Linked DNA regions of Macaca fascicularis. The protein of the gene in region 4 purifies or fractionates together with the protein of the main gene of each other region. This does not show direct contact. Links are inferred from orthologs where the notes say so. Each region holds a gene or a part of one and is shown on either strand. Other genes may lie near its edges. The genes, in order: VCP, HSPB1, HERC5, ISG15, FLNB and ENO1.

Region 1 (3,500 bases), on a different chromosome or scaffold from region 4:
AGCTGGGCGTGGTGGCTCATGCCTGTAATCCCAGCTACTGGGAAGGCTGAGGCGGGAGAATCACTTGAACCTGGGAGGCGGAGCAGAGGTTGCAGTTAGCTGAGATCCCTTCATTGCATTCCAGCCTGTACAACAAGAGCGAAACTCCATCTCAAGAAAAAAAAAAAAAAGAGAGAGAGAGAGAACTTGAGTCTACTAAGTGACAGCTGGAGATGGGCTAGGTAATAAGTTGGTGTCACTGTCTGGTGAATGACCCTGTCTTGTAGGAAATAACAAACTGAGTATAGACCCAGTCAACTTTGATTTGGATGAGAGGGATTTGTATTTGCACAGTGTTTCAGCATTTCTTGGTTTTGGTTTTTTGAGCCAACTTTATGGAATTGTGTGCTTTTGCAGAAATTACTGTGAAGTTCCTTTTGACCTTGAGCCTCTTTCTGGCAGTTTCATGTCTGTTAGTGTTGTTTCCAAATATGATGGAAACCATATGATGATTTTTATGCTTGGCATTCCTTTGGTACTATGGAATGCCCTGGCATCAGTAGGTTTAGCCTATAAGGAGGGTAGCACCAATAATTCTGCTTCATTGTCCCCAGGCTTGCTTGGTAGGACTTGAGAGCTCCCTGAGCCTCAAGGGAAATTGTCTGGCTTACTTCATTCCCTGGAAAGTTAGCTTATGCTTTATACTGTTAATCATGGTGACTGTTATTACCATGTGCCAGCTATTATGTTAAGCATTTTACATTCATTATCTCCCTTAAGACAATAAGCCTCTGAGGTAAGTATTATAGTCTCTCTCTTATAGAGGAAGACATCAAAGTTCAGAGGTTAGGTAACTTGCCCAAGATCACAGTTAAGTAGTGGCAGAATTGGAATTCAGACCCAATGGGTCTGACTATTATAGAGTTCCTGCTCTTAACCACTCTTCTATAAGTCTAAGACTATTTTTATTTCTCTAATAACTCTTCAGTCTCCATTTCTATTATGTCTTCTTGGGGCAGGATCACTCACTTGGAGCCTTATAGCTGGGACACTGATGCTCAAAATACCAGGAGCTGCCGGAATGGGTATTGTAATATGTATGCTAGATACTGCTCCTCGTGACCTTGGCTGCCTTTCCTTCATCCGCGCTCTCTGGTCTAGGGACAGCTTCATCTATTCACTGTTTGTTTCCTAAGTATGAGTTTTAGAGACTGGTGAGGCCCTTGGGGCGGGAGTATCTACTGGGACTGACTCCATTTCCTGCTTCTAGTTCAAAAGGTGATGACCTATCAACAGCCATTCTCAAACAGAAGAACCGTCCCAATCGGTTAATTGTTGATGAAGCCATCAATGAGGACAACAGTGTGGTGTCCTTGTCCCAGGTAAGCTGGGGCCACAAACTAGTCTTTCCTTACTGCACTTACTTGAGGGATTTGCCCAGGTTTCTTTTCTCATTTTGCAGATATTTCTATTTGCAGACTGCAGATAGAGTGGGGTTTACTGGGAATCCCAATCTCGAGGGCTGTTGCTTACTCCCCTTCTGCCCAGTGACCCAAAGGCCTTAACTTTCTTTCCTCAGCCCAAGATGGATGAATTGCAGTTGTTCCGAGGTGACACAGTGTTGCTGAAAGGAAAGAAGAGACGAGAAGCTGTTTGCATCGTCCTTTCTGATGACACTTGTTCTGATGAGAAGATTCGGATGAATAGAGTTGTTCGGAATAACCTTCGTGTACGCCTAGGGGATGTCATCAGGTGTGTGGGGTTTTTGGCTCCACAGGGATGGGAGGCCAGAGATAGCCTGCATTACAGGCAGTACCCATGTATTACAGGCAGGACCAAGTTCTTGGAACCTGTCGATGCAGGAAGCCTGCTGGTCATGGGAAGACTTATGCTTCAGGATTGTCTTTAGGTTTTGGTTCTGCCTTCCTGGGACTTCAAAATCCATTTCTGCAGGTCGCTTGAGACAAATTGGCATTCCTGTAACTTTCTTGGTGCCTTTATTTTTTCCTACTAGAAGTGTAATTTATCATACTTATAGCCTAGCTTAGGATACCACTCGAGGGTGTGTATGTATCTGCCAAATAACCTCCTCACTACTCTCACTAGTATGTCCAATTAATGGCTTGCGTTGGGGTTGGAATGAGGTGGGGATATGGACATGGAAGGTGAGCTGCTAGCAGGCCTTTTAAGCCCCTAAGTGAACCCGGGAGAGAGGAATAGTTGGAGCCAGACCCAGGATAGTTCTCAATGTGAGTGATTTTGCTTGTTCTTGCATAATTTTAGGCAAGAGGTTGCCCCATCTTGGAGTCATCTCTAGCCACTCTTACCCAACCAACCATCACCTGGCCAGGATCATCTCAGGCTTTTGATTCTTTTTGATGGAGTCTAAGTTTCATGTAGCTTTCTTCTTGGGGGTGCTTAGTCACTTCCTCAAGGTGTTCTGAACACCTGGCTGAGATAATTTTGTTTTTTTCACTTCTGTTTCACTGACCCTGACAGTTGTTAGCTTAAGACCTTCCCTTGTAATATTGGGTCACCAATATTAGCTAGAAGGGGATCATCCTTGGATATCTCACTGAAGACCTTGCATATCTTTGTGGGGTTTCTAAATGTGTGGCTCTTGATTTTGGCTCACTGATTAGAAGTGAGTGGGGCTGTTCCTTTGCCCTCACTTCCACGGTGTTCTCCTTCCTCTCTTCACCTAAAGCCATCCTGCCTTTTCTTTTTCACTTACTATCAGCTATCTGTGCCAGGCCCTTTTGGACACCCAGTGCTTGGGCCCGAAGTGTGGTTGGTAATATGGAGTCTGCTTGTCATCCTCAGCATCCAGCCATGCCCTGATGTGAAGTACGGCAAACGTATCCACGTGCTGCCCATTGATGACACGGTGGAAGGCATTACTGGTAATCTCTTTGAGGTATACCTTAAGCCGTACTTCCTGGAAGCTTATCGACCCATCCGGAAAGGTGAGAGCTAATTCTGAGTTTAAGGATTATTGACTGTAGTTAATAAACCTTGGAACATCTTCGTCTCGTTTTCTTTCTTTTTTTTTTAATCTTTTATGCTTTTCTCCTGTATTTATTTATTTATTTTTTAAGAGATGGGGTCAGCTGGGCACCGTGGCTCACACCTATAACCCCAGCGATTTGGGAGGCTGAGGCGGGTGGATCACTTGAGGCCAGGAGTTCGAGACCAGCCTGGCCAACATGGCAAAACCGCATTGTGGGCACCTGTAATCCCAACGACCTGAGGGGCTGAGGCACAAGAATTGCTTGAACCCAAGAGGTGGAGGTTGCAGTGAGCCAAGACCAGGCCACTGTACTCCAGCCTGGGTGACAGAGCAAGACTCTGTCTCAAAAAAAAAAAAGAAATGGGGTCTCACTATGATGCCCACGCTGGTCTCAAACTGCTGGGCTCAAGTGACCCACCTGCCATGGCCTCCCAAAGTGCTGGGATTACAGGCATGAGCCGTCATGCCTAGTCTCATTTTCTTTTCTTTTTTTTTTATTTGAGACAGAGTC
Region 2 (3,383 bases), on a different chromosome or scaffold from region 4:
AAGACAGGGTCTCACTCTTTCTGAGCTTTTGATTGTTTTGTTTTTTTGAAACAGGATCTTGCTCTGTTGTCCAGGCTGGAGTGCAATGGCACGATCTTAGCTCACTGCACCCTTCAACTCCTGGGCTCAAGCGATCCTCCTGCCTCAGCCTCCTGAGTAGCTGGGACTACAGGCATGCAGTAACACCCTGGCTAATTTTTATTTTTTAGAGACAGAGTCTCACTACATTGTCCAGACTGGTCTAGAATTCTTGACTTCAAGCACTTCTCCTGCCTCAACCCCCCAAAGGGCTGGGATTACAGGTATGAGCCACTGCGCCCGGCCCTACGACCTCTCTTTATGTGAGTCAGCCCGTGTCCAGCAACCTACATCAGTGTACCAACATGGCCCAGCACGGGGCTGGGCACACAGTACACCCTGAGTAAAGGTGACTTGTGGAAGCCAGCAAATGGCAGGTGCCTGAGGCTTCCTTCCACAAATACCAGGGTCTGAGCCAGTGACAGGTGGGTTACTTGGAACTTTATTTGAGAAAAACAAGATAAACGTATCAAAAGAACACACAGGTTGAGGGTGGGGGGGCGCAGCCAGTGGCGGCAGCAGGGGTGGGCATCCGGGCTAAGGCTTTACTTGGCGGCAGTCTCGTCAGATTTTGCAGCTTCTGGGCCCCCAAGCTGGGCCCGCGACTCGAAAGTGACCGGGATGGTGATCTCGTTGGACTGTGTGGCTAGCTTGGGCATGGGGGCTTCCACGGTCAGTGTGCCCTCAGGGGACAGGGAGGAGGAGACCTGGGTGGGGTCCACACCGGGGGGCAGCCTGGACGTGCAGAGAGAGAAGGCGAGCGTTACATTACACACTGGGTGGGTCCCTGTGCCCTCCTCCCTGACCCCCGCCCCCCGCCCCCCACCCACCCCGATCTGGCGCCAGGACTCACGTGTATTTCCGCGTGAAGCACCGGGAGATGTAGCCATGCTCGTCCTGCCGCTCCTCGTGCTTGCCTTTTGGGGAAAGAGGGAAATCAGACTATGGGGGAGGGGACCGCCTCTCGGCCCCGCCAGGCCAGAGGCCCCACCTCCTGCTTGGAAGCAGCTAGGACTGCAGGCCGGCAGGGATTAACGGAGGGGGTTGGGGGTGGGGGCGTGCCCGCCTGTCCGGGTTCTCAGAAACTTCCGGAAAGTTCCTCGATTCAGAGTTTTGGGAGGAATGGAGCAGGGCGCCGAGCTGGGGAGTGAGCAGTGCCCAGGCGCACTTGGAGCCGCACGCACGCCCTCTCCGCGGCTAGAAACAGGGAACCCGCTTATCTGGGGATGGGGTTGTGGGTGGGGAGGGGGCTCTGTGGAAAGGTGCATTTTCTCTCTTCATTGATGGTCTTTTAAAAAATTTTTTTGGTTGCTTTTTAATTTTTTTGTAGTGTTGGGGGGCGTCTCGCTATGTTGCCCGGGCTAGTCTTGAACTCCTGGCCTCAAGCCATCCTCCCGTCTCGGCCTTCCAAAGCGCTGGGATTACAGAGCACAAAGCGCCCTTAGAAGCGACCTGCACTCCCAATTCCTGAGCAGAGGAATCAGGGATCCTGTTTTTCCCGGTGCTGGGCTAACATTTAACTCCCCAGGCCCCCGGGACCCCCGTTTCAACCGCACCCCTCCCCCGGCCCTGCCCGCCCCGCTAGCCTCCTCCCCTCCTCTGCAGGACCAGGGGGACTCACCGGTGATCTCCACCACGCCATCCTTGGTCTTAACCGTTAGCTCGTCCGGGGCGAAGTGGTTGACATCCAGGGACACGCGCCAGCGGTCCGCCGTGTGCCGGATCTCCGAGACCCCGCTGCTGAGCTGCCGGCTGAGCGCGCGGCTGTAGGCGGGCGCGGCCACCGCGGGGCTCTCGATCGCGGCGGGGGGCAGGGGGCGCACGTAGCCTGGCCAGCTGCTGCCGCCCAACCACTGCGACCACTCCTCGGGCAGCCGGGGCAGCCCGAAGGCCTGGTCGAAGAGGCGGCTGTGCGGGTACCAGTCGCGGAAGGGATCCCAGCTGGGGCCCCGCAGGAGCGAGAAGGGGACGCGGCGCTCGGTCATGCTGGCTGACTCTGCTCTGGACGTCTGCTCGGAGAAGTGCGGGGCGCTGGGCCCGGCTGCGCTTTTATGCGGTTCCAGTCGGGTATTTTTAGCAGGCGGTGTTTGAGGTCTCTATTAATGGCAATGACCCGTTTGAGGGCCGCCCCTCCCCATGCACTCCTCCCCTAGCGTTCAGGGGCCGTGGGCGGGGCGAAGAGGGTTCTGCCCTCATCTGGAACCTTCTCTCGTTAAGGAAAACAAATGAGTTCGAGAGCTCGAAGCTGGAGCCGTGCCACGGCAGGGCACTCGCCGGCCCTGGTGCTTAAGAGCTGCCGACTGTGACCCGTGGCCAGGGCCGTTCTTTTGTTAAGGAGGACAGAGCCAGGCAGGTTGGGTTGGGGCATACAACTGAGAAGTGGCAGCGGCAGGATTGGAATCACAAGCGTGTGAGATGGAATGTGATATAAAGCAGGCTGGTGCTTGAGCCCAGGAGTTCGAGGCTGCAGTGCGTTATGATCTTACCACTGCACTCTAGCCTAGGCAACAGAGCAAGGACCTGTTAAAAAAATTTTTAAAAAGGGGCCGGGTGCGTGGCTCATGCCTGTAATCTCAGCACTTTGGGAGGCCAAGGCAGAAGGGTCCCCTGAGGCCAGGAGTTTGAGACCATTCTGGGCAACATAGTGAGACCCTACCTCTACCAAAATTTTTTTTAAAATTAGCTGGGCATGGTGTGCACGCCTGTGGCCTCAGCTACTCTGGAGGCTGAGGCAGCAGGCTCCTTTGAACGCTGGTGAGCTCCTTTGAACGCTGGTGAGTAGAGGCTTTGGTGAACCTGGATTGCACCACTGCACTTCAGCATGGGCTGCAGAGCAAAACCCTGTCTCAAAATAAGTAAATGAATAAATACAAATACAAAGATAAAGCAGTCTGGGCTGGGTGTGGTGGCTCACCCCTGTAATCCCAGCACTTTGGGAGGCTGAGGTGGGAGGATCACCAGAGGTCAGGAGTTTGGGACCAGCCTGGCCAACATGGTGAAACCTCATCTCTACTAAAATTACAAAAATTAGCTGGGTGTGGTGGCGGGCGCCTGTAATCGCAGCTGCTGGGGAGGCTGAGGCAGGAGAATTGCTTGAACCCCGAAGGCAGAGGTTGCGGTGAACTGAGATCTCACCACTGCACTCCAGCCTGGGCGGCAGAGCGAGACTCCATCTCAAAAAAAAAAAAAAAAAACAATCTGGTAATCTGGTACGGTTGTTAGGAGTGTGGACTTTGAAGCCAGACTGCCTGAATTCACATCTTGGTTCTGTCACTAAGCAGATGAACTTGTGCAAGTTAGATTCT
Region 3 (3,500 bases), on a different chromosome or scaffold from region 4:
GTGAGCCGAGATTGTGCCACTGCACTCCAGTGTGGGCGACAGAGCGAGACTCCATCTCCAAAAAAATAAAAATAAAAATAAAGGAAGCATGTTCGGAGCACCTGCAAGAAAAAAACCCTAAAGATAGTACTAACAGTGCTGAAACAGGAAGCAATCATCCCATAAAGAACAAGAACATTCTAGAATCTACAGAAAAGTGGAATGGAAAAAAAAAAACAAAGAATCCAGGCAGTCCCTGGTGAGAAGGATATTCATATCAGAAAAAATGTTCTTATTTCTACATTTACGCTTAAAAGGATTGCACATAAAATGTTCTTATTCTAGTGTGCCAATCTCAACAAATCCTTAATCATCTTCCTAAAGCCCTGAGTTGAAAAACCTCCCTCCCTCTAGGAATGTGTATGCATATATGTGCATGTGTGTTTGTGTACAGACACATTATTTAGAATATTTGTAACCTGTGTGACTACTATGCCAATTATTTCACCCTAAAAGGGCAAACTCCTAATTGTTATCTGAGTTTAACTTAATCTGAATATGCTACAAGGTCTCGGAGAATCCCTTAACACAAAACATTTCTTCTGAAATTTCGAGTTCTTATAAGAAATATTCTGGTCTATTTTCTTTCTCCACATAACAATCTGAAGATACCATGTTAGTAATCCAGTCCTTTTGGGTTAACTCCTTGAAGATGTTTCTTGCTTTATTTAAGTCCAAATAAACAGGCATCATTTCTGTAGTTCTTCTGTAGAAGATAAATTAAGTATCTTGTTAGATTATCTCTCTAGATGCAAAGTTTCTTCCAGAGCTTGCCCCATTTCAACAAAATTACATTTTTTCTCATGTATAACTATAATTGTCTAAATACAAATGCAATGTAGTAAACAACATGATTTTTTCTAAAATACCAAAAAATATCAAGGCTGCTTTAACTATATATACCATAAGACTTTAACTCAGATGCTGTCTTATCTGTAATAGATTAAAAAAAATAAATATTTCTCAGTTTAAAAAAAATAGCCACAGAGGGAGGCTGAGACAGGAGAATTGCTCGAGCTTGAGAGGTCAAGGCTGCAGTGAGTTGTGAACATGCCACTGTACTCCAGCCTGGGTGACAGAGCGAGACCCTGCCTCAGAAAGGAAGGAAAGGAAGGAAAGGAAGGAAAGGAAGGAAAGGAAGGAAAGGAAGGAAAGGAAGGAAAGGAAGGAAAGGAAGGAAAGGAAGGAAGGAAGGAAGGAAGGAAGGAAGGAAGGAAGGAAGGAAGGAAGGAAGGAAGGAAGGAAGGGAGGGAGGGAAGGAAGGGAGGGAGGGACGAAGGGTGGGCCATAGAAAAAAGATAAATGTTTTTCGAAGGAACGAAGGAAGGACCAACCACAGGAAGGAAGGACCAACCACAGGAAGGAAGGACGGAAGGAAGGAAGGACGAAAGGACGGAAGGAAGGAAGGAGCTCCACAGAAAAAAGATAAAGGTTTTTCCCATTTCTAAAAAATACATCCATTTTTTCCAGTTAAATGGACTGAAAAGTGGGAACCAAAAGAGGGAGCTTCTGACCAATAATTTCTTAGTACTTCAATATAAAGTCATTAATGAAATGTTTAAGTATCTTCTCATGGAAGACCTTCTAATGGAAGGTCATGAGGCCATTAAAATTATGTTACCGGCTGCGTGTGGTAGCTCACACCTATAATCTCAACACTGGGAGGCTGAGGTGGGAGGACTGCTTGAGGCCAGGAGTTCAAGACCAGCCTGGGCAACATAGCAAAGCTGCTGTCTTTACAAAAGTTAAAAAATTAGCAGGAGATGGTGGCACATGCCTGTAGTCCCAGCTACGTGGAAGGCTAAGGTGGGAGTATTGCTTGAGCCCAAGAGTTTGATGATGCTTAAGCCCAAGAACCATGATGCTGTAACTCCAGGAGACCTTGTCTCAAAAAAAAAAAAAATACATATATATATATATATATACACACACACACACACACACACACACATATATGTATACCAAAAAAGATAGAACAAAATGTAAAATGGGCAAACATTAAGTATAAAACAACGTATAAACAATGTGATCCAGCTGGGCATGGTGGCTTACGCCTGAAATCCCAGCACTTGGGGAGGCCAAGGCTGGTAAATTGCCTGAGTTCAGGAGTTCGAAACCAGCCTGGCCAACATGGTAAAACTCTGGCTCTACAAAAAAATAAAAAAATTAGCTGTGTGTAGTGCCATATGTCTGAAGCCCCAGCTACTCAGGCTGAGGTGGGAGGATTGCTACAGCCTGGGAGGCGAAGGTTACAATGAGCCAAGATCACACAACTGCATTCCAGCATGGGCAACGACAGGGTAACACCCTGTCTCAAAAAACAAAAACAAAAAACCAGTATGATCTCATTTTTTGTAAAAGAATACATTTGCATGAAAAAATAATATACATAAGTGCTAGCTATTACTCTTATGTGATGGATTATGGAAGATTTTCACTTTCTTTTTATTGTATGTATTTTTGACATTTTCTACAGCAAGCATATATTTACTTTTGTTAAAAAACAATTTTTAGAAAGGGACGAACACACAGCTAATTATTTTACCCTCCAATCATTTTTTATCCTCTTTCATGGTACTCTTAATACAATTTAATACAATTAATTTATTACATATATTACCTTTTCCTTAAAAAACTTCCAGTTAGACAAGCAGGAGATGAAAATATCTCTTGGATTTCCCTGTATTAGTAATAAGACACTGGTTAAACCAAATCACATGGTATACATACACACAGCCTCTTTATAGCATGAAACATGATAAATACAACATCTTATAACAATCCTTCTAACCTCTCCATTTGTCTCCTATCTGTACGCATATTATCTTGGCTTCCAAAAGTCCATTCTGTTTGGTAAATCTCAAAATTTCAGTGGCAAACATGGGAAATAAAAAAGTTTATACATACTAAGAGAAGCCTCAAATAAAGAGGAAAGGCTTGATTTATGGTCAGAACTTTCTTGAACAAACAAAATACTCCTACCCCACCAACTATGCAAGTCCTATTTATTTCTATTCCATTGAAGTAGAAACAAAATAAATTACCAGAAATTAAATGGGGGAAGAAGTATGCTGAGTTTCATCTTAGCAGTAGTTGTACAGTTCTTAATTATTTATGCTTGCAAATTATGATGCAATTATTTTGTGCAACCATTTTGTACAATCATTTTCCAGAATTAGAAAGTCATACTTTAAAATATTTCTAAAAGATGATGTTTGTAAGAATAGGCAGGAGTTCTATAAGACTGTAGGAGTTCTATGGTTTAGAGAAGAATGGTACAAATTGTTTGGCTAAGAATAACAGGAACACAAACTAATGGTTCCAGTATCGAATGGGACTGGGGAACACTATAGACTGTATTTTCTGGCCAGAGAGTCACAATATACATAAACAGAGGCCTGGAGAAGCCCTGCAGTAAAGAAAGCTGTCCTCATGGAGCTTACATGCTAGTTGTGATAGTT
Region 4 (2,775 bases):
CGCCCAGCCCAGGCAGGTGGAGCAGGCTGTGCAGGCTGGGCTAGGGACAGCTGAGGCCCCCAGCCCCCAGTTCCTATGGAGAGCCTGCCTCACAGCCCACTGGGCAGGCCCCAAGGACTCACCCCTCACCGCTTCCAGGGGCCCACTGGGAGCCTCCCCCGTAGCCTTTTGATTTGAGCAGGCTGGTCCCTGCCTAAGCTGTCTGCTGTCCCAGATGGAGGATGGGCAGGATGGGCTCCAGCAACTGTGTCTCTTTTTCTTTCCCTAGAAGTTAATTTCCCAAAGGGTGGGGAGAGCTGTCTTACTTCAGTTTGGTAGGGAGGAAGCTCCGTATTTTGATCCCTCGAGGCTGTAACTGCAAACCCTTATCCTTTCACTTGGCAACCAGGCCTGGTCACCAGGATGGACCCTGGGATCTCCCTCCTGACTCCTCCCGCCACTTCACTAGGGGTCTGAGGCGGACGCTGGAGGAGGGTCATGTGCAGACACAGAGGCAGCCATTTCTCTTTACAACATTTATTTCCAGCCCTTGATCTTGCTCGAATGCTGGTGGAGGCCCTTAGCTCTGCCCGCCAGGCTCTGTGCCGCCTCCCCGCAGGCGCAGATTCATGAACACGGTGCTCAGGGGCTTGAGGCCGTACTCCCCCAGCGGGAGCTGATTCTCCAGGGGCTTCCCCTCGAAGGTCAGCCAGAACAGGTCGTCCTGCACACCCTCCTGCCGGCTCACTTGCTGCTTCAGGTGGGCCACAGTCTGCGTCAGCTGTACCTCGTAGGTGCTGCTCCGGCCCTTGTCGTTCCTCACCAGGATGCTCAGAGGTTCATCGCACTTGTCCACCACCAGCAGGACCGTGCTGCCGGGGCCCAGGCCCTGGTTGGCAAGGGGAACCCTGTCCTGCAGGGTGGCGCCGCTGGGGTGGACAGCCAGACGCTGCTGGAAGGCGTGCACGCCGATCTTCTGGGCGATCTTTGCCTTCAGCTCTGACACCGACATGGAGTTGCTCAGGGACACCTGGAACTCGTTGCCCCCCAGCATCTTCACCTTCAGGTCCCAGCTCTGCAGACATTACACAGGCTCAGAGGCTGCCGCACCAGTCCCAGGCCCACGACACACAAGGCCCTGGCTGCTGGGCGAGCTCCTGTGCCCAGGGACAGTGCTTCCTCCTGTTTGTCCTCTACATCCCATCAGCAGGGACCCCAGGCACAGAAGGCACTGAGGGGTCATTACTAGAAGGCCAGCTGCCCACAGCCATCCGTGGCCTCCCTTTACCTGCTAGGGTGCCCCTCTGTGCCCACCCTGAGGATCTCAGGGGTGACCTGCTTTCAGGAGCACACTTAGAACCTGGCCGAGCTCTAAGCAGCTCTGCTCTCCCTGCAACCCTGGGAGACCTTGGCTGGGGGAGGGAGCTGAAAATTGACTGGCACAGAGGCCTGCCCCCCCCCCCCGAGCCCCCACCTGTGACATCTCCCTTACCATGGCTGTGGGCTGTGGGCCACGGGTTGGGGGAGACAAAAATTGACTGGCACAGAGGCCCCCCCCACCCAACACACACACACCTGTGACATCTCCCTTACCATGGCTGTGGGCTGTGGGACGCGGCACGAGCTCCTGTACTGGCAAAGATGAGTTCACTGCCTCTCAACTGCCGGCTCCTGCAGGCAGCAGCCAGCCCTGTTATAAGCCTGAGCCACACACGTCAGGGGGCGTTGCCGCGCGAGCCTGCTCCGGTGGCCAAGTTTCGGTTTCCTTTTCCCCAGGCATGCCCCAGAGTGAGCAGAAGAAACAAAACAGAATGGCCGAAAGACGGGGAAAAGCAGAAGGGGGTGGGCAGGGTCTCAAAGGCACTGTCAGGGCCGGGGACTCAGGACGGCGGACGGCATCCCCACCCCCACCCAACACCCTGGAAACACCTAAATATCGAGCATTCCAGGTCCTTCACAAGATGCACTAAAGCTGGTTGAATGCCGTGGCTCACTCCTGTAATCCCAGCACTTTGGGAGGCCGAGGTGGGCGGATCACCTGAGGTCGGGAGTTTGAGAGCAGCCTGACCCACACAGAGAAACCCCGTTTCTACTAAAAATACAAAATTAGCCAGGTTTGGTGGCGCATGCCTGTAATCCCAGCCACTTGGGAAGGTTGAGGCAGGAGAATCGCTTGAACCTGGGAGGTGGAGGTTGCGGTGAGCCGAGATCGCGCCATTGCGCTCCAGCCTGGGCAACAAGAGTGAAACTGTTAAAAAAAAAAAAAATGCGCTAAAGCCTTCACATGAACGAATGGTTTCATTTTCCATTTACCAACTTGCAAACAGTAAACATGGAAAACACCTCTATGGTTAATTCAGAAACAAAACCTCCAAACTCCCCAGAGATGACAACACTTGGTTTAGGGCAGTATTTGCCCAGGTTTGGTGTTTTTTGTTGTTTTTGTTTTTTTGAGACAGGGTCTCACTCTGTCGCCCAGGCTGGAGTGCAGAGGTGCAATCTCAGCTCACCGCAGCCTCCACCTCCCTGGCTAAAGGGATCCCCTTACGTCAGCCTCCCACGTAGCTGGGACCACAGGGGTCCGGCTACTTTTTTGTATTTTTAGTAGAGATGGGGGTCTCCCCATGTTGCCCAGGCTGGTCTCGAACTCCTGGGCTCAAGTGATCCACCTGCCTCGGCCTCTGCAAGTGCTGGGATTACAGGTGTGAGCCACTGCGCCTGGGCCTCAGACTGTTTTTTAATAAAAGAGACCTATCTTGTATTTTCTACAAAAATGAACTCTGGGACACTACTGAG
Region 5 (4,059 bases), on a different chromosome or scaffold from region 4:
GAATCACTTGAACCCAGGAGGAGGTTGCACTGAGTCGAGATTGCACCACTGGACTCCAGTCTGGGCAACAGAGCGAGACTCCGTCGCAGAAAAAAAAATAAAAGAGGAAGATACACCTATGGAGAGAGGACTGTGTGAGAGACTCTACCTGACATAGCGGGCTTTCTTTTCTTTTCTTTTTTTTTTTTTTTTTGAGACGGAGTTTTGCTCTGTCACCCAGGCTGGAGTGCAATGGCATCATCTCAGCTCACTGCAACCTCCGCCTCCTAGGTTCAAGCGATTCTCCTATCTCAGCCTTCCCAGTAGTTGGGATTACAGGTACGTGCCACCACACCTGGCTAATTTTTGTATTTTAAGTAGAGATGGGGTTTTACCATGCTGGCCAGGTTGGTTTCCAACTCCTGACCTCAGGTGATCCACCTACCTTGGCCTCCCAAAGTGCTGGGATTACAGGCGTGAGCCGCTGTGCCCAGCCCATTGCAGGCTTTCACAGAGAAAAGGGGCAGGAGTCAGGCACGCAGGCAGCTTCTGGAAGTTAGAAAAGGCAAGGAAACAGATTCTTCCCTACAGCCTCCAGAAGGGAATGCATCTTGCCAATTTAGCTAAGCGAGACCCATGTGGGCCATCGAACCTACAGAACTTAACAATAATACATTTGTGCATGTGTGTTTTCAAAGACACTAAGTTTTGGTAACTTGTTACAGCAGTAACTGGAACCTAAGACAGGTAGCAAGCCTTATTGTTCATTTTTACCACACTACTGGGCTGTTGGTGATGGTGGATTTACACTTTTCTCTCCCATTAGGCTGTGAACTCCTTGAAGTTGTGCAATACGTTTGTCTGATTTACTACTGGTTGGCAGGCTCTGAGAAGAATGCCTGGTACACAAGTGGAGCTCAATAAAAGCCCTCACTGAATTTTATTGAATGTATATGTGGATGTAGACCTCCGCTCTGCGCGCCCCTCCCGCAAGTCCCACTGCTGCCCGACCCATTCTGTCCGGCTCCCAGTCCCCGCGAGTCCCCCCACCCCAGGGCTGACGGGGTGATTTAGGCAGCCCTACGTCCTGCTGGGGTGGTGGGCTTCGAGCGCGGGTCCCAGGACGCCGTGAGGCGCAGTGCCTGCAGCAGGCGGCAGGGGGCGAGCGTGGCCCAGGAAATCCCGCGGGAGGGTCGGTACGGGGCGGGGCTTAGGGGCGGGGCGGCTCAGCGCGCAGGCGCGGGGCCAGGCGCCTCGCGCGGCCAGAGGCGGGCGGCCGCAGAGCAGCACCGGCCGTGGCTCCGGTAGCAGCAAGTTCGAACCCCGCTCCCGCTCCGCTTCGGTTCTCGCCACTTCGGCCCTTGGGCCTCCAAACACCAGTCCCCGGCAGCTCGTTGCGCATTGCGTTCTCCCCGCCACCAGGATGCCGGTAACCGAGAAGGATCTGGCGGAGGACGCGCCTTGGAAGAAGATACAGCAGAACACTTTCACACGCTGGTGCAATGAGCACCTCAAGTGCGTGAACAAACGCATCGGCAACCTGCAGACCGACCTGAGCGACGGGCTGCGGCTCATCGCGCTGCTCGAGGTGCTCAGCCAGAAGCGCATGTACCGCAAGTACCATCAGCGGCCCACCTTTCGCCAGATGCAGCTCGAGAATGTGTCCGTGGCGCTCGAGTTCCTGGACCGTGAGAGCATCAAGCTCGTGTCCATCGGTGAGTTCTCTGGCCAGGCCCAGGCGCCGACTGTGGTGCCGACCCGCCCCCGCGCGTGCACCCCTGCGGAGGGCGAGGACTTCCCGCAGCGCACCCCCACCTGGGAGTCGTCCCCGGGGGTGGGATATAGGGGGCCTAGACCCCCCTCCCCGGTGCCCTCCTCTGGGCTGGGACCTGTTGGGATCGCTCCCCGCCGTGCGCCCCAGCAGTGCACCTTTGGCTGGCTAAGGGTTGAGGGTTTGGACTGGGGTCACAGGAGGAGAGGTGGAGTTGTGGCATTTCTCTGCACCTGGGGCGCCCCTATGGGAGCTAGGGGACTAGAAACCCTCGTTCGCCATCCCCGGGGGCGGGGCCCTAGAGTCAGATGCTCTCCGGAGCGCTCGCCCGGCTGCGCCCAGGTTGGTGCTCTCTGCGGCAGCTGAATGGGCGTTGGCTCGGAGGCCGGGCCATGAGACCTGGGGAGGAACCGTTCTCTGCGCCTGGGGCCTCCCCGCCCAGGTGGAGACAGAGACTTGGTACCTTCCCCTGCTGTCGCTGGAATGGGTGTGGGCCCCGAGGTTGCCAGGGGAGGCGCGGGTGTGTGTCCTGGCTCCGTCTGCTCCCAGCTCAGCTCTGGCCGCGCCGCAGGTTGAACCCACTCCTTGCTGCCGAAGTTACAATGTAGGGATGGTGGTGGTAACAGTAATTGCTGTCTTGTAGGGAGCCCAACTAGCGTCCTCTGTGTACTGTCAGCCTTCTAAGTTATCTCCGTCCCTACACATCCTGCGAGCTGGGGTGAGGCTAGACCCGTTTTAGAGATAAGAGGGTCCAGAGGGTTAGTTGACTTGTCCAAGGTCAGCAAGTAGGGCCCAGCTGAGAATTGAAGGAAGTGGGCGACAGTTAGAAGAAGGCTTTGTTTTCCTCTCCCCTCCCAAACCCACACCAGGGTCTTCCTGAAAGGAGGGAGGGAATTGGTGTCTCTTGCTGGACTGGGCCCCCTGGACTGGGGAGGAAGAATAAGGATGAAGTCTCCCTTGTGGTCTGAGATAGTTGGGCGCTTCCAGGAGGGCCACAAGGCGGCTGAGAGTGTGGGCCGTGACAGTAGGGGCAAGGAGTTTGTAGTATGTGTGTGTGCATGTGGACATGTGTGCAGAGAATGTGTGTACACACATAGCATGTATGTATAGCATGTGCATATGCAAAGAGAGTTTGTGTGTACACGGAATGGGTGTGCAGAGTATGTTTGTATGCAGAGAATGTGTATCCGCCTGTGTGTGTGTGTGTGTGTGTGTGTGTGTGTGTGTGTGGGTGGGTGGGTTTGGGCGGGAGAGGGTCCTGGGTCTGGATCTCTTCCTAAGGAGAACCAGGGACTGGCCCTGGCTTGTGACTTGGGTCTTTTCCTGAGGAAAGCAGGTCACTATAGTGACCCTAGTGACAGGAAGAAAGGGAGATGGGTGTGGCTGCCAGGACTTTCTCCAGTGGAAAAGGGATTCCCTCTAGGCTGAGCCTCCCCTAGGCCTCAGGGCCTCACCCTTCCCTTCCCCCACACCTGTCCTGGCAGGTAGGGCTGCTTCCTGCTTCCTGGGCAGCCGCACCACCCAGCCCAGCGGCACCACCCAGCCGATCTCCAGCAGCCCTCCCCCTCCCCAAGGGTGGCTTCCAGGCAGAAAAACCCACATGCCATGCCGTTGTCTTCTTCCTGGGGTCCATCTCCTGTACTGGGGAGGGATAACCTCAGAATCTTCTGGAATTCTTTACCATTCAGAAACCAGCCTCCCCTCTGAAGAATCGCAAGGCCCAGCTGGGCCCAACTTGGATCTGTTCTTTGTTTTAAAAATGTGTATTTATTTAATTAACTGAATAAAGAAACTTAAAGTAAACCAGAAGTATCCAGATATGACATGAAATCTCTAAAACAACAACCAAACCAAACCAAACCGCAGCACTAGCAAATCACAGACTGCCTGATCTACCAACTGTTTACAAAGGCAGCAGCTACTTCCAGCACTGTCTGTCATCAGTGCCTGGGGCTGTGGGTCTCATTCTAGATTTTGTCTGGTCGCTTACATTTTTTTACTTGGTTCTCCTGATTCCCTGCTCCCCCTACTCCCTACCACCCCGCCCCAAGATGGAGCCTTGCTCTGTCTCCAGGCTGGAGTACAATGGTGCCATCTCCGCTCACTGCAACCTCCACCTCCCGGGTTCAAGCGATTCTTCTGCCTCAGCCTCCTGAGTAACTGGAAATACAGGCACGCGCCACCACACCCGGCTAATTTTTATATTCTTAGGAGAGATGGGGTTTCAGCATGGTGGCCGGACTGGTCTCGAACTCTTGACCTCATGACCCACCCGCCTCGGCCTCCCAAGTGCTGGGGTTACAGGTATG
Region 6 (3,982 bases), about 7.8 Mb from region 4:
CGAAGTGCCGGCTGAGAATGTGGTGCTGCAGCCTCCAAGAATCTTGCAACAGCAGCAGTCTGGGATCATGTTCTGCCTCTCATTTCCTGCTAGATTTACTGGTTCTGGCCACAGCAGAGTATCTTTATCTCTCTAACCATTTTAATGTAAAATAAGATTGTTTGGAGCCCTTTCAGGGCCACGCCTTAGAACTGCTCTGAAAGTAAGAGTACCAAGTGCCTGATTTCTTAGAGTCCTTAACAGCAGGAGATGTTGGCTGATTTAGCTGCTGAGTCATGGGGCTGGAGATAGTGGTTTTCAGTAGCCAAAAACGTTAGTGTATTGCTGGTGAAATCACAAACTCTGCTTGCAAAATTTTATTATTATTATTATCATTTTGCTGAATTTAATCCTAAAGTTCTTGCTTCTTACCCACTGGAAAGCAAATACTATGTACTTAGTAGGCCTTCACTTTTAACCTACGCCATGGAAACCTGCCAGTAGCTAAGAGGACAAAAACGCTAGGGGTTAAGAAAGAAAAGTAGTTTTTGCAGCGGACCAGAAGAAATAATTAAATTCAAGTACATATTTGAACATCTCTTTGCAAGGAAATGAGGAAAATCAGGAGATGTTTTAGTTCTCTTAGTGACCAGCAATAATGTTGAAAAATATAAAAGTCACCGTAACAGAAAACGAAGTGATCATTTCAGCCCTCCCTTGGAGTCGGGGGGATCTATTGCGGAGCTGAGTTTTAATGGCTATCAGTTCTCGATCAAAAAGGTGAAATCACTCCACCAACTCCTTCCATATTCCATGGAATATGACCCGTCTTGAACTTTGAGAAATTCCCCGGGTCTATGTGAAATTCCAGTTCCAAATAATTTACATGAATGGTTCACAAGAATCCAGGTAGGTTTGATCTAGTTCCCTAGATGGGACTGAGGGGGATGTGAAATTTCAGATGCAACATTAACATGGGCTAGAGAATGAATTAACACTGGGGAAGCAGGTGGTGGCGCGCCAGACACCTAGGAGGCACTCAAGAAAAATGAGGTAGAAATAAAGGAAAGTGAACCTTCCTTTGGCTATTTCGGCCTGATTCTCACCGCAGCAAGGAGAAAGGGACAGGGTCACCTTGGCGGGTGCCAGGCGGAGCCCGGCCGGACGGGCGCGGCTGGGGGGCAGCGCGCAGGCGCAGGCGGCGCACGTGGCCCCGGAGGCGCACCGCTGCGGCCCGGCCCGCGACACAACGCCGGAGTGGGGCCGAGGCGCGTAGCCTCTCAACGACTCGACGCCAACGGGGTCTCCCGGATCGCGGCGCAGGACAAGAGGGGCGGGGCAGGAGGGCCGGGGCAGGCGCGGGCTGCCAAAGTCGTCAGCAAGGTCGAGGGCCGGACGCGCGGCCCCGGAGCGACGCTGAGTGCGTGCGGGACTCGCAGTACGTGACGGAGCCCCGAGCTCTCATGCCCGCCACGCCGCCCCGGGCTCTCACCCGGGGCCCCGGCTCCGCACACCTCAGTTCGGCTTACGGGTCCTATCTGGGGCTAGAGTTTCGCTCGCACCACCACAGGGCCGCTGGGTAGTCGGGGCACCCTAACTCCGCCCGCCTCACGTCCGCGGGTCGTCACCCCCCCTTTCCCGGCTGCAGCCGCCGCAGTCTCACCCCTTTCCGGGAGGTGAGAGCACGAGTGACGGCTTTCCCGACCAATGGCGAGGCGGCCCTGAGGAGGCGTGTCTGGAAGGCGGGAAGTGGGTGGGGCCCGCCTTAGCTGGGCAGGAAGTCCGAGTGCGGCGCGGACAGTAGGTGTGGGGAGCCGGAGCGCATAGACCTCGCAGACCTCACCGGCTTCACACTCACCTCGGTGTCTGCTGCACCCGCCGCTTCTTCTCCTAGGCCACGAGACCCAGCGGCTAGGTAACGATTAGGGAAGGGCTGAGCAACGGGCAGGCGGCGCAGGGCTTTTCTGGGCTTGCGGGGCTCTTTCCCCTCAGAGGGAGGCTGCGCGCCAACAGGCCCGGCGTGGCGGGGTCGGGGGCGCGTGCGAGCCGACTCCCTGGGTGGGAAGTGGCACCCCCGCTCACCCCGAGGCCCGGGACGGGGGCACAATGCGAGGTGCACGTGCTGGGTCCCGATTTCTTTGGAGGGGAAAGTGCAGATCAACACGTGATTACAGACTGCGGGGCAGGATCACCGTCGGGGAAGGTCGGGAGCTGCACACGCGAGCCGCTTAGCACAGCGGGAGTTGGGAGTGGAAGTTGCTTTTCCATCGTAGCCAAGTGTAAGGTTTTTGGGATGGACGCAGACATAGCGGTGGTGCCCACTGAGGCCAGGCCCTCCCTAAAATGGAGGAGGGCGGCGAGAGAGGAGATGCCCACGAGGCTGCAACCCCCTCCCCCACCGGCAGCCCCCGCCTCTCGCCTGCACTCGCGGCCCGCGCTTCGGCCCAGTAAGCGGTGACTCATTTCGAGAAGGCACCTCTTCTTGAGGAATCTGCCGCAGAGCCGTTAGATCATTGGCAAGCCCTCCAGGCGACCTCGCCCAAGTTGGGCAAGAGCGGCTCCCCGGCTGGCCATCAGACGTCGGGCCCTGATCTGAGAAGGATTTCCTTTTTTTTTTTTTGCTCTTGTTTCCCAGGCTGGAGTGCAATGGCCTGATCTCCTCGGCTCACTGCAACCTCCGCCTCCTGGGTTCAAGCGATTCGCCTACCTCAGCCTCCCGAGTAGCTGGGATTACAGGCATACGCCACCACGCCCGGCTAATTTTGTGTGTGTGTGTGTGTGTGTGTGTGTGTGTGTGTGTATATATATTTTTTTTTTTTTTTAATTAGAGGCGGTGTTTCACCATGTTGGTCAGGCTGGTCTTCAACTCCCGACCTCAGGTGATCCGCCCGCTTCGGCCTCCCAAAGTGCTGGGATTACAGGCGTGAGCCACCGCACCCGGCCAAGAAGGATTTTTTTTTTTTTTTTTTTTTTTGAAACGGAGTCTCGCTCTTGCTCTGTCGCCCAGGCTGGAGTGCAGTGGCCGGATCTCAGCTCACTGCAAGCTCCGCCTCCCGGGTTCACGCCATTCTCCTGCCTCAGCCTCCGGAGTAGCTGGGACTACAGGCGCCCGCCACTTCGCCCGGCTAGTTTTTTGTATTTTTTAGTAGAGACGGGGTTTCACCGTGTTAGCCAGGATGGTCTCCATCTCCTGACCTCGTGATCCACCCGTCTTGGCCTCCCCCGGCTAGTTTTTCGTATTTTTTAGTAGAGACGGGGTTTCACCGTGTTAACCAGGATGGTCTCGATCTCCTGACCTCGCGATCCGCCCGTCTCGGCCTCCCAAAGTGCTGGGATTACAGGCTTGAGCCACCGCGCCTGGCCAACTTAAATATGTTTAAACAAATTTGCCTTTTTGGAACCTAATAGATAAAAACTAAGTACCTTTTTCTTGGCTAATGAATAAAACTCCATTGTTACGTAGACAACAAAGCCACAGAAGTGACTTCAGTAAATAATTTTGCAAGTTAAAAATCTGCCCAAACTTAGATGTCTTATTGGCTGCTCCTGGTGGCTCACCCCTATAATCATCCTAGCATGCTTTGGGAGGCCAAGGCAGGGGAGGATCACTTGAACCCAGGAGTTTGACACCAACCTGGGCAACATAGTGAGACCCCCATCTCTTAAAAAAGTAATTAAAATAAAGATGTTGTCATTAATGACATAACAATACTGAAGTCCGGAGTACTGTGAAATTGGAAAGTCCCAGGAAGTGGCGGTAGCCAAGATCTCATGGTCCAAGGACTTTATTATTCCTGACTTCCAAACTCAGAATTTCTGATTATTAAATACCTACTAAGTGAATATTGTGCTGCTACTTCAAATTTAATCAGAAGAATTATGTCCAAACTTAATTCGCTATTTTGTTTTAATTCTGCTACAAGCCAGATTTTCCCCTCATCCCCCCACCCTCTTTTTGGCCTCGCCCTAGGTGGTTTTGCTTGTGACCTTCATGTCTGTTCTT

What was found.
Region 1: the proteins of ISG15 (region 4) and VCP purify together in Homo sapiens (affinity purification with mass spectrometry, with the first as the bait; 3 studies listed by BioGRID). This does not show direct contact. The link is inferred for Macaca fascicularis from reciprocal best matches to the Homo sapiens genes ISG15 and VCP.
Region 2: the proteins of ISG15 (region 4) and HSPB1 purify together in Homo sapiens (affinity purification with mass spectrometry; 3 studies listed by BioGRID, with this or other methods). This does not show direct contact. The link is inferred for Macaca fascicularis from reciprocal best matches to the Homo sapiens genes ISG15 and HSPB1.
Region 3: the proteins of ISG15 (region 4) and HERC5 purify together in Homo sapiens (affinity purification with western blotting; 3 studies listed by BioGRID, with this or other methods). This does not show direct contact. The link is inferred for Macaca fascicularis from reciprocal best matches to the Homo sapiens genes ISG15 and HERC5.
Region 5: the proteins of ISG15 (region 4) and FLNB purify together in Homo sapiens (affinity purification with mass spectrometry; 3 studies listed by BioGRID and IntAct, with this or other methods). This does not show direct contact. The link is inferred for Macaca fascicularis from reciprocal best matches to the Homo sapiens genes ISG15 and FLNB.
Region 6: the proteins of ISG15 (region 4) and ENO1 purify together in Homo sapiens (affinity purification with mass spectrometry; 4 studies listed by BioGRID, with this or other methods). This does not show direct contact. The link is inferred for Macaca fascicularis from reciprocal best matches to the Homo sapiens genes ISG15 and ENO1.

What each region holds. Positions count from the first base shown.
Region 1 is NC_088389.1:64,363,425-64,366,924, forward strand, and holds part of VCP (transitional endoplasmic reticulum ATPase), read left to right. Parts: intron 1-1,249; coding exon 1,250-1,361; intron 1,362-1,558; coding exon 1,559-1,731; intron 1,732-2,802; coding exon 2,803-2,945; intron 2,946-3,500. UniProt on the Homo sapiens protein: Necessary for the fragmentation of Golgi stacks during mitosis and for their reassembly after mitosis. Involved in the formation of the transitional endoplasmic reticulum (tER).
Region 2 is NC_088377.1:51,430,815-51,434,197, forward strand, and holds HSPB1 (heat shock protein beta-1), read right to left. Parts: upstream 2,104-3,383; 5' UTR 2,064-2,103; coding exon 1,700-2,063; intron 996-1,699; coding exon 932-995; intron 814-931; coding exon 624-813; 3' UTR 501-623; downstream 1-500. UniProt on the Homo sapiens protein: Small heat shock protein which functions as a molecular chaperone probably maintaining denatured proteins in a folding-competent state. Plays a role in stress resistance and actin organization.
Region 3 is NC_088379.1:94,019,177-94,022,676, reverse strand, and holds part of HERC5 (E3 ISG15--protein ligase HERC5), read right to left. Parts: intron 2,720-3,500; coding exon 2,660-2,719; intron 746-2,659; coding exon 652-745; intron 1-651.
Region 4 is NC_088375.1:233,759,445-233,762,219, forward strand, and holds ISG15 (ubiquitin-like protein ISG15), read right to left. Parts: upstream 1,646-2,775; 5' UTR 1,576-1,645; coding exon 1,573-1,575; intron 1,490-1,572; exon of another isoform or gene 1,475-1,489; coding exon of another isoform or gene 1,472-1,474; intron 1,055-1,471; coding exon 560-1,054; 3' UTR 501-559; downstream 1-500.
Region 5 is NC_088376.1:121,080,937-121,084,995, forward strand, and holds the start of FLNB (filamin-B), read left to right. Parts: upstream 1-1,259; 5' UTR 1,260-1,402; coding exon 1,403-1,694; intron 1,695-4,059. UniProt on the Homo sapiens protein: Connects cell membrane constituents to the actin cytoskeleton. May promote orthogonal branching of actin filaments and links actin filaments to membrane glycoproteins. Anchors various transmembrane proteins to the actin cytoskeleton.
Region 6 is NC_088375.1:225,981,552-225,985,533, forward strand, and holds the start of ENO1 (alpha-enolase), read left to right. Parts: upstream 1-1,182; 5' UTR 1,183-1,417; intron 1,418-1,774; exon of another isoform or gene 1,775-1,894; intron 1,895-3,982. UniProt on the Homo sapiens protein: Glycolytic enzyme the catalyzes the conversion of 2-phosphoglycerate to phosphoenolpyruvate. In addition to glycolysis, involved in various processes such as growth control, hypoxia tolerance and allergic responses.